Linked DNA regions of Caenorhabditis elegans. The protein of the gene in region 1 purifies or fractionates together with the protein of each later gene. This does not show direct contact. Each region holds a gene or a part of one and is shown in the gene's direction. Other genes may lie near its edges. The genes, in order: lrp-2 and egl-17.

Region 1 (5,165 bases):
CTTTCCAAGTACCAAAATTTGGCAAAAATCCCCCTCTTCTCTAGTATCTGCTCAATTTGCAGTAAACTTTAGAATTTCCGATTCCAAAACTTTTTCCCACATCTCCCAAAACCTAGAACTGCTGCTTCCAAAAAAAGTCACGTAATTTCCCAAAAAAAACTTGTTATGAACCCAATAACTACCACAATTTAAATGCTCCAAATGCACGAAATACCATAAACATTTACCCTCTCCACTTCTACTCGATTTACCAAATATACATCCGCTTTTTCGTCGGCCACGCACTTGGCTCAACCATTTATCGTTCTGCGTTTCTCTCTCTTTTTCTCAACTTCCGTTCATTTTTCTTCTTCTTCTTGAAAAGTCAAAAAAAGACACCCAGAGATGAATGTCTCCAGTTTTATTGCCTACTTACTTGCCGCTTTTTGTCGGATCACATTCCGTTTTTTTATTGTTGCGCGTCGAATGTGTGCGGTCTGGATGAAATTATTCAGGAGCTCTTAGTTCGCTTTATTCATAAAAAAGTCTCAGTGGAGCAAAAAAAGCGTACTCTTGCAGACGCCATGTTTGAAATTTTTAGAAGGTGCGCGTGCTAGCTGTTCAATTTTTTTGCATAACTTTTGCACTTAACCATAACTATTGAAACTACAGCGTCCATATTTCGTTAGTTTTTGATTTTACTAAAAAGTTGTAAACTGACAAAACATTTATCGTGACTAACTCTACAAATTTGCAGTTAAATTTTTTTTTTTGATATCTATGAGAATCTGCTAAAGTTGTGCCAATTTATTTCTAGAAAACGAAAACTTATATTTTTGCTCTCAGTATTGTAAACTATTAATTGAATGTACTTACGCTAAACGTTTTCACAGTCAATCTATTAAATTGCCTCTTTGTGTCCACATACTGTTCCATTTACCCCCCCCCCCCCCCCCACCTTCCTTTCCCATTTCTTTCATCGCCGCCTATGTACCAAAACATAACTCTTTTCTTCTTCGTCGTCGCCTGCCAATTGCCTTTGACACTGCCCCGAATCACCAAAAAGTTATTTTTCATTGTTTCATTTTTACTCGACCAGTCTGAGTCTCATCTTCTCTACTCGTGTACCTTTTTTGGCCTTGTTGTCTGTTGGTGAGGGAAATCTCAAAATTGTAGGTAGTTTGGTTATTTTCTTTTTGGGGTTTTAAAAAGGATTCTTGCGTGGAGAGCTTCAATAGTTTTAGTTTATACTCCTTGAGGGACTCCATAAATTTTTTTTTAATTTGGAATGTTACTTTCTAAAAAGTATTTTTTTAGTTTTGTGTTTTAGTTTAATACAATTCGTTTTATGAATTGATCTAAACCAAAAAAAAACACAAGAAAACCAAAAAAATTGAATACGTTAAAAATACTTGCATTTAAAATTCCAAAAGTAATTTTTAAAAAAGGTGTAAAATTAATAAATCGCTGAGTTTTACAGTTAGTTTTTGCTCGGTTACCTTTTCCGGTAAAAGCGAAAAATGGATTTTTTTTTTGCTAGCTTCTTTCTGAGAAAAATCTCATAAAAAAGAGCAAACTTGTTTTTTGACTTCGTCTTCCTGCTCCTTCTTCCCTTCCCCCAACGCCTCATACTTTATAAATCTTGTGTGTTCGTGTTCGTGTTCACATTTCCTCTTTGTCAGTTTAATTTTGTTTATTGCATTTGGCTCATCGCCATCTTTCCTTCTCTTTTCCAAATGTCTTACTTTCTTCTTTTCTCTCTCTATTGCCATTTGAACATCTACAATATATTGGGTCATCTGAACCGAAACGAAATGGCAATTAGACAGAAGGGGGTTCTTGAATTAAAATCACATTGATTTCTCGTAATCGTTTTACTTTTTGACTTTTGAACTTGTCTCCCTTTTTTCCTTTTTCATCTTTTTTTGCTAATTTCAGTCAAAACCTGTACCTCTCGACTCTCCATGAAGGTGCTGCACACATTCCGATGCTCTCCGCCCGTTATTTAGTTATTCTTCTTGTTGCCCTTCAGGGTTTCAGCCTCGTTCAGTCAGATGAGACGTCAGCGGAGGGTGAGCTTTTTTCCTACGGTACTCGATCCAGTCACGAAATTTTTTTTTGTTAAATGTAAAGTGTGGGCGCCAGTAATTTTCAAAGACGTTGATTTTTTTTAATCTAAAAATGTGTTGAAAAATCAATGAAGTTTTGTAGAAACAAGTGGTTGGAAATTACAGTAATCTTCAAAGGCACACACCTTCTTACGCTTAACGAAGTATTTTTGTACTAAGACCGGATACTGTATATTTTCAAAATTCGGAAAATTTTGCCATGTCAGTGTAGTAAAATTTACTCGTGAAGTGTGTAAATGCATCGAGAATTTTCAAATAGTTTGAAAAAATTTTATTCTAAAGCCGTATAAATTTGGAAAAATAGCAAATTGCCTGTATTTTTTTTACTTTTCGGAATCAAAAAACCTTTTTCAGAAACCCAACCCCACTACCCAGAATGTGTTGCACCGATGCGAGAATGCGATGCAAAATCGCCGGGCGGTCCAAAATGCTATCCGGAACAGTGGTATTGTGACGGGTTTCCAGATTGTCAGGACAGTTCAGATGAGCCTTCCACGTGTAGTGAGTTGCTATTTTAATTTTTCTATTGTCTTTTTGAGAACATATTTCAACCACAAAATTCGTTTAATTATTCCAATTTCAGAACGAACGTGTCTAGAAAACGAGTTTGTGTGCAAAACGGGTAAATGTCTGCCACGTGGCTATTTGTGTGATTCGCAATACGACTGTGGACGTCTTCCAAACGGAGACCGCGACCTTTCTGATGAAGCTCCTGAACTTTGTAAGTCTTTGAAAATTTTATTTTCGTGGCGCTTCATGTCTAAACTTTCCAGGCAATCAACCACTACACTGTGATTACAACGAGTACGCGTGTTCAAAATCCGCACAATGCGTGCCTCTCTTCAAATTCTGTGATGGTAAACGCGACTGTTCGGATGGCTCGGATGAGCATTCGATGTGCCACGTGGAAGATCCAAAGACAGCCGACAGTTGTGAGTATGGAGCAGCAATGACGATTGATGGAATCAAGTGTTACTGTCCGAAGAACAAGTTTTTGAATGAGCAAGGAAAATGTGAATTTGTAAATCATTGTGAACGAACCAAAAATGGTGAGTTTTTTTTTAAGTATGAAAAAATATTCAACAGTTTTACGTTTCCTACGTTTTAAAAAGGTAAAGCTCAAATTGTTAGGATGAACTTTAAAATAGCCCCTGAATGAATTTAAAAAAAAATTTTGCTTTAAATTTTTTCAACGTTTTTTTATTTAGAAAAAAGAAAAAAAACGGGCGAAGTTTGAAAAAAAAATCGATGAGAAATCGACAAAAACGTCTAAGAATAAGACAAAGCAACAACATGGGAAATAAATGTTTAAAAAACTTCAGAAAGTGAAAAGTAGACTTTCAGGACTTCCCCCTGTATGCAGTCAAGATTGCACTGACAACAAGAACGGTACTTTCACGTGTTCCTGCTTCGATCCCAGGCTCACAGTTGTCAATGGAACGCATTGTGTGGCTGATAAAGATCGTGAGTTTAAAATTTTTTTGATGAACACTTTTATTTCAAAAAAAAAAAAACAAAAAACTTATTTCAGAAACCATCCCCAGTGTAGCAATTCTCACCAAGAAAAAGCTCTTTGTGCTTCAGAAAAACAAGATGTCTAGCTATTCAAGCATGCCTCGACCACTAGGAAAACCCGGAGCAATGACTCTTGTCATCCAGCATCCTGACTTCCCGGAGGCCACTGTTCCAATACTCTGTCTCTCCGAATCTCCATCGGCAAATGATAGTTATATCACATGCGGAAATGTTGAAGGCTCCGAACCTGCAACCAAGACTTATGCAATTGATTTTGATTTGTCTTCTATTCACATCATACGATTCGATAATATTGGTAACAACTGGATTTTTACGGATGCTTCTTATTATGTATTCATTTGCAAGCATAATAGTGTACGAATATCGTCCTGTCGAACTGTTACCGCAGGTGATATGGGAACAATTCAAGATATGAAGTATGATGGATTGAACGGACAGCTTTTGGTATCTGAAGTTGATGTTTTACAACAAGGAATATGGAGAATCGATGTAGCATCTGGTCAACGATACCGACTATCCTATCAACCGATTACTTCTCCTGCACTTGCAATTGACCCATTCACCGAGACATTATACTTTGTGGATATTGGCGCACGATCCATCAAAGCCGTTGACTATAATGCAAACTACTCAAGAACTATTGTTAGTGGCCGAATTGCGAAAGAAGTTAAAATGATTGATTACGCAGAGGGTCGGTTGTTTCTGACACTGAAAGACAATCGAGTATTTGCAATGAATGCATTGGATTCGAATTCTGATATGAAGATTTGGCAGGAAGTGACACCTCAGAGAAAACAAGGGAACGAGAATATTCAGATCCTTGAAGTTTTGCACTTTCGACGAAATGAGCATGCATGGAAGAACAAGGGAAAGAATATTTGCAAAGCGGCAATGTGTGATGATATGTGTATAGGGCATATCAATCAAACTTCGTCGTGTTTTTGTAGAGATGGGTACATTCAGAATAACACAAAATGTTCCGCCTCGAAAGATCTTAAAGATGAAGAATTATTTGTTCTTGCTCAGTTAAGACCTTCGAGGATCAAGATCCTTGGATTCGACAAGAACTATCGGACAGAGATCATCGGAGTCTCAGATCTTCTGAATGTCAAACGTCCGAGTGCAATGACTTTTGATCCAAAAGGAGAACAACTTCTGATGTATGATTTGAGAAGGCATTCACTTGTAGTGCAAAAGATTGGATCCACAAATTACACAGTTCACGGACTTACTGGAATCATGAACTGTGAAGGAATGGCTTATGATTTTACATCGGATAACCTCTACATGACTGATCAACGACGAAAGATAATTACGGTTCAAAGACTTTCAAATCTTTCCATCCAAAAAGTAGTTGTTAGTGGGAATATGAGCAATCCAAGAGCCATCGCCATCCACATTGCAAAGAGCTATCTTTTTTGGGGAAGTTGGAATGAGGACAATAATGACGATGAGAAGATCCCTGCAATGATTGAACGATCGAAACTTGACGGAAGTGAACGAAAAACGTTAGTCTCGAAG
Region 2 (5,257 bases), on another chromosome or scaffold:
CACGCGATAAAGATCCACAAACCGACGCCCTTATAGCTCAGTGGTAGAGCGTTGGTCTTGTAAACCAAAGGTCCGTAGTTCAATCCTGCGTGGGGGCATTTCTTTTTCCATTAAAAAAGGCTGAAATTCGTTTACTTTTGTATATGAAAGCTAGATGTTTTAATCAAAATTCTCTAGAAACATAGTATTACATTCCCTATCAGTCTTGCAATTATGATTGGTAAGTTTATCTGAGAAGTATTATTACAACCGTGCTAATAGCATGAATACAGTAGTGGTACAAAACCAATAGCGCTCAAAGAATATCAAATTATCACAAGAATCAGATAAGGAAGCGTAATTTAATGACCTCCTGTTATTTACTTTTGCTTAAATTTTAAATTCTCATCACAAGCTCATAAAAAATTATTATTTTCGAAAAGCCGTCAAAAATCCCAAAATTCAAAAACGGCCAACCCCCGGTGCGACTCTGATTAATCACTGTCTCCTCCCCCGTCACCCTCCTTTTCTTTCACGTCCTTGGTAATTTTCATATGTATGTTTGCTTGCGCACACATGGCGAAAAAGACAGTTTCATAACCAGAAAGCGTACGCCAATTTCTTAAACTACTTTTCCAAATGACGTTTTTAAGACATGAGAAGCCAGGAAAAACGCGGTAAAGTTGTTGCGGTAATTCTATACCAAACGTTTTTTTTTTTCGTTTGTCCTCTGGTTACTTGTCTACCGTTCAGTTTTTCATGTGATGTTTAATAATTTTTCTGAGGTTTAAAGTTTTTCAATGGTTTTTTTTGTTTAAAAGTGGACTATACTCTGTGGGAGATTTGCTTTAAAAGATTCCTATGGGGTCACAATGACCGAATATCATGATATAAAAATTCAAAAAAAATTCAAGATTTTATATGATTTTTGGGAATTTGGAAAAATCTCAGTTTTCCCCTAATTCCTATTTGAATTACCGCCTATTGAACTCGTTCGTTGGAGCGCGCTTGCATTATTTTCATTAATGTTTTTATTTGTTCTCATTATTTCACTGTTGTTAGTGAAATAATGAGAACATAAAAATTAATGAAAATAATGCAATCGCGCTCCAACGAACGAGTTCAATTGGCGGTAATTCAAATAGGAATTAGGGGAAAACTGAGATTTTTCGAATTTTCAAAAAAATAATTTAAAATCTAGAAATGTTTGTTGAATTTTTTATCATGATATTCGGTCATTGTGACCCCATAGGCAAGTTCCGTATAGGTGTGATAAGGTAGCTTCGAGAAAACAATTAGACTAAAATCTCATCGTTTTGAATTAATTTGGTTCATGTACAGATCTTTCATTATATTAACTACTTTTTATGCTCTTTGCATTACTTTCAAATTCTGTCATTACTCCAGAAGGGGATTTTTGCAAATTTCTGAAGATTGTAGTAGCATTTAAGGGTATAGCTCTTCCGCTAAATTTTTGCGGATACCTACTTTCAAAAAAACGAAAACATGTTTCTTGTAAGCTTTAAAACCTACTCACCAACAAAGTTATATTTTGTGTGTGTACCACATGTATGAAAATGTCATCTTAATATGATGTCCAGTCAATAGTTTTCCTCAGTTTTCTAGTTTCCCCCCTCATCTCTTATATCGTCTGTCTTTACCAACTTTCCTCCGTCTCGATACAATTGTCCGACAACTTCAAGTTGTAATTACAATGTGTTTTGAAAGAAAAAAGTGACAAAAAAGTTGATTAAATTCTTGTTTCTGATCTGATTTCTTCCAACGAACACCGCCGCTTCTTCTACGTGGCGTCTCAGCCGCTCGATTATGTTACTTTTGTAATATGTTTTCAATTGCATTTTTAGTTTCCGTTTTTGTTTTACCCAATGTGTGTCCCCGCTGTGAAAATCGTTTTACAGGCATCCATCTTTGATTTCCGACTCTAATTTATAAAATTCCAAGGTTGGTCCACTTGTTCATGTCACAATTAAAAACAATGATTTTTCAGGTGCCCGAAATGTGAGCTATGCTCAAAGTCCTACTCACCCTGATGTTGTCGACAAACTTTCGGAATACATGGTGAGTGTCGCAAAAAAAGTTCTCCCCGGCCGGGAATTGAACCCGGGTCTCGCATGTGACAGACGCGGATACTCACCACTATACTACCGAGGACACATTAATAGGAAAAGACGAGAGAAAATATAAAGGCGGGATAGGAACATGTTGATAGAATACAATAAGCGCAGGGAGGTGGTGAAAAAAAATTCATTGATGGCTTAAAAATTAAAACGACGAGCGTAAATTTATAAGATTCATTTGTGAAAACCTATCCGTTTTAATTTTTTTTAAAGTTTTTACCACCAAAGTGTTCCGAAGTATTTGAAAATCTCTTTGAAAAAAATTCACATGAAATTTGTTCCCACTATATCAACTTTAAAATGAGTTAAACCGATGAACTCGTAATATGCCAGACATTGCGAAAAATTACTTTTTTCAGTATCCCCAGTGAGGATTCTATCTAAATACGTACATAATTATTTTTACCATAACCGAATTTAAGAAAAAAATTCCAAAACTGTTTATTTTGGTATCTTGTAAATTTTTCGGACAGTTTGACCTTTTGAGAATTAAAAAAACAATGTTAATCATGACTGTGAAGAGAATTTTTGAAAATGTGAAGACAAATTTAATTTTACATTTAGAAAAATTTATTCATATCTACTTGAAAAATGTTTTAGTTTTAGGAGAATGTATACTTCAACCTTAAATAGGCTCAATAAAAAAATTGCAGCGCACGATTTCAAATAAAACCAAACGTTCATTATCTCGGTGAGACCCATTGGCAACTATTCAATGAATGCAGCCAAGGCATGTTACAGTCATTTCTAGGCTCCCTGAACACAAGGGGATATCCGGACAAACATTGTCTAAGTGAGTTTTCATTGTTCCGTTCAGTATAGCTATGAGTCATCTGTTTGAAAAGTTTGATGTCATCGAAGTAAGAACATTGATGCAATATTATATGTTTGTAGCCGATTGGAATGTGGTTGGAGAATGGGATGGAAAGTTTCGGTTACAACATGCACAGTCGAGAAAGTTTTTGTGCTTTAACAAAAGAGCAAGGATAACTTTGAGGGTATCAACTTTTTTTAAACCTATTTTTTCAAAATTAGGGCTCCCATTCGGCGTCTCACGCCGCGATCGAAATGTTTATAGCGATGCGCGAAACCCAAAGAGAGTCCGACGTGGAGTTAAGTTTGCACGAAATAGTGCTATAGGGTATGACACTATTTGGTGCAAACTTCGTTTCGCGTCCGGGACTTTTTGGGTTCCGCGCATCGCTATAAAGATTTCGATCGCATTTTTGAGAACTAAATGGATGTATACGAAACACATGCGTACCCTGAATATTTATAATCCGTTTATTAAATGATGAAATGTGTGCACAAGAAAGTTGGGTACATATGGGGGTTTTTCCCCAAAATGCTTTTTAATAGTTTTTTCACTGATTTTTTAAAATTTTACGCGAATGTTTATTTTAATACTATTGTTCATTGAAAAGTATGCTTTATCAGGTAAATTTTTTTTAAACTCAATTAAAAACTAACATTAAATTTACAACATTTCTGAAAAAACAATCCGAACATTTCAGTTTAATGGAAGCGACGCCAAATGCACATTTATTGAAGAAGTTCGGGATAATGGGTTTTCTCGATTACGGTCTTCATGGAAACCCGAACTTTATTTAGGTATGTGATGGAACTGCAAAAAAAATTGAATGAATACATTTGAAAATGGAAAATATTATTGGAAAAGTTAGTCATAAATAGTTAGTTGCAATAATTAATTTTATTTGATTTTTTTTTCAAATCTGGTCGTCCATCTACCTCAAAGTACCTACATTGAGCTGAAAACGAAAAATGATGTACTGCTATACACAAAATTAAACGGTTTTAAATTTAATCCTTTAAAAAAGATACTTTGACAAGTCGGTCAAATTTCAAATTTTAACTAATTTAGGTCATTTTTTGAGCCGAACTTTTTGAACTTTTTTTGATAAGTTCTCGAGAAGTTTCATTATTAAAGCAATAAACAGAAATAAACTACACCAACTTTATTCCAAATTAAATTTTTACAGGCTTCAACGGTCGTGGTAGATTTCAAAATCCTTTATCCTATCATTTAAAGCCAAGATGTTTTGACTGGATCAAGCTTGTCCGTTATGTTGCAGAATCCGAGAAAAGCGTCTGCTCAACTCCCCCAAAACCAAAATTATCACCCTCCCCACTTGAGCACTCGTCATTTGTCCATCATGCAGTTCGTTCAAATTTTTTGAAAAAAGTATCTGCCACACATGATAGTTTGTATCGTACAATGAAATCCAGAAAATCATAAGATAATTGCATGAATATATCATTGTTCCAGATAATTCCGAATGTTTGTATATGTACCATTATAGAATATGTAAACCGTCAAAATTATCGAATAATAAAATGTTTAAGTTTGAAAATTTTTTCGGCATTTGTGTGTTTTAATGAAGTTTACGTTTTTCTGTCTCTAAACCAATCAAAAAATCAGTTAGCAATAATTATTTTCAGAATTAATTTCAGATTAATATCAGATTCATCCACGTAGACTTGCCATAAGTGTTCAAAATCTAGTTCCAATGTTTCCAAGTGTTTGAAAAATGTTTTCCATCATCTTTTTTGAATAATTTTAAACAATACATAAAAAAGCAACAAAAAAATCCGGAGAAAATTATTGAATATTATTGAATATTTTGAACATAATTAAAATATAAAACTGAATTTTTTAAATTGACTCTCAAAAAAAACCAATTCAGGTGTGCGCTGCAATTGGCAATTTCGGCAATTGCCGGTTTCAAAAATTTTTGGCTAATTACGGTAATAGTTGCCGAAGTTGCCTAAATTGTCGATTTTTTTCGGTTAGTCATTTCCTATCAGAAAACGTTTAATCATGGATTAAATCATTTTGAGTTTGAAGATAGAAAATTGTTCAGTGAAATTCATGTTTAGGCTCCTTAATCTACAAAAAGTATCAAATTTATATTTCCAGCAATTCTGATCCGAAAATTCAATTGGCGACCGGCGTTTGCCGCGCACCCCTGCTCTCAATCTCTTAGGAGCGTATCTGTCAAAACCAGTTTACTTTGTTATTTTACAAGATTCACAAAAAAACCACCTCATATTTTCAGTTTAACATCAGTCAATCAAAACGCGTGTTAACCCTGTGCCATCTGTCTGATCCGACTCAGAAA

The links.
Region 2: the proteins of lrp-2 (region 1) and egl-17 purify together in Caenorhabditis elegans (affinity purification with western blotting, with the first as the bait; one study listed by BioGRID). This does not show direct contact.

Annotation. Positions count from the first base shown.
Region 1 is NC_003279.8:3,950,744-3,955,908, reverse strand, and holds the start of lrp-2 (EGF-like domain-containing protein), read left to right. Parts: upstream 1-1,917; 5' UTR 1,918-1,966; coding exon 1,967-2,051; intron 2,052-2,462; coding exon 2,463-2,609; intron 2,610-2,691; coding exon 2,692-2,829; intron 2,830-2,881; coding exon 2,882-3,157; intron 3,158-3,452; coding exon 3,453-3,572; intron 3,573-3,639; coding exon 3,640-5,165.
Region 2 is NC_003284.9:487,789-493,045, forward strand, and holds egl-17 (uncharacterized protein), read left to right. Parts: upstream 1-1,896; 5' UTR 1,897-1,941; intron 1,942-1,987; 5' UTR 1,988-2,005; coding exon 2,006-2,058; intron 2,059-2,079; exon of another isoform or gene 2,080-2,151; intron 2,152-2,770; coding exon 2,771-2,910; intron 2,911-3,011; coding exon 3,012-3,115; intron 3,116-3,631; coding exon 3,632-3,728; intron 3,729-4,117; coding exon 4,118-4,374; 3' UTR 4,375-4,530; downstream 4,531-5,257.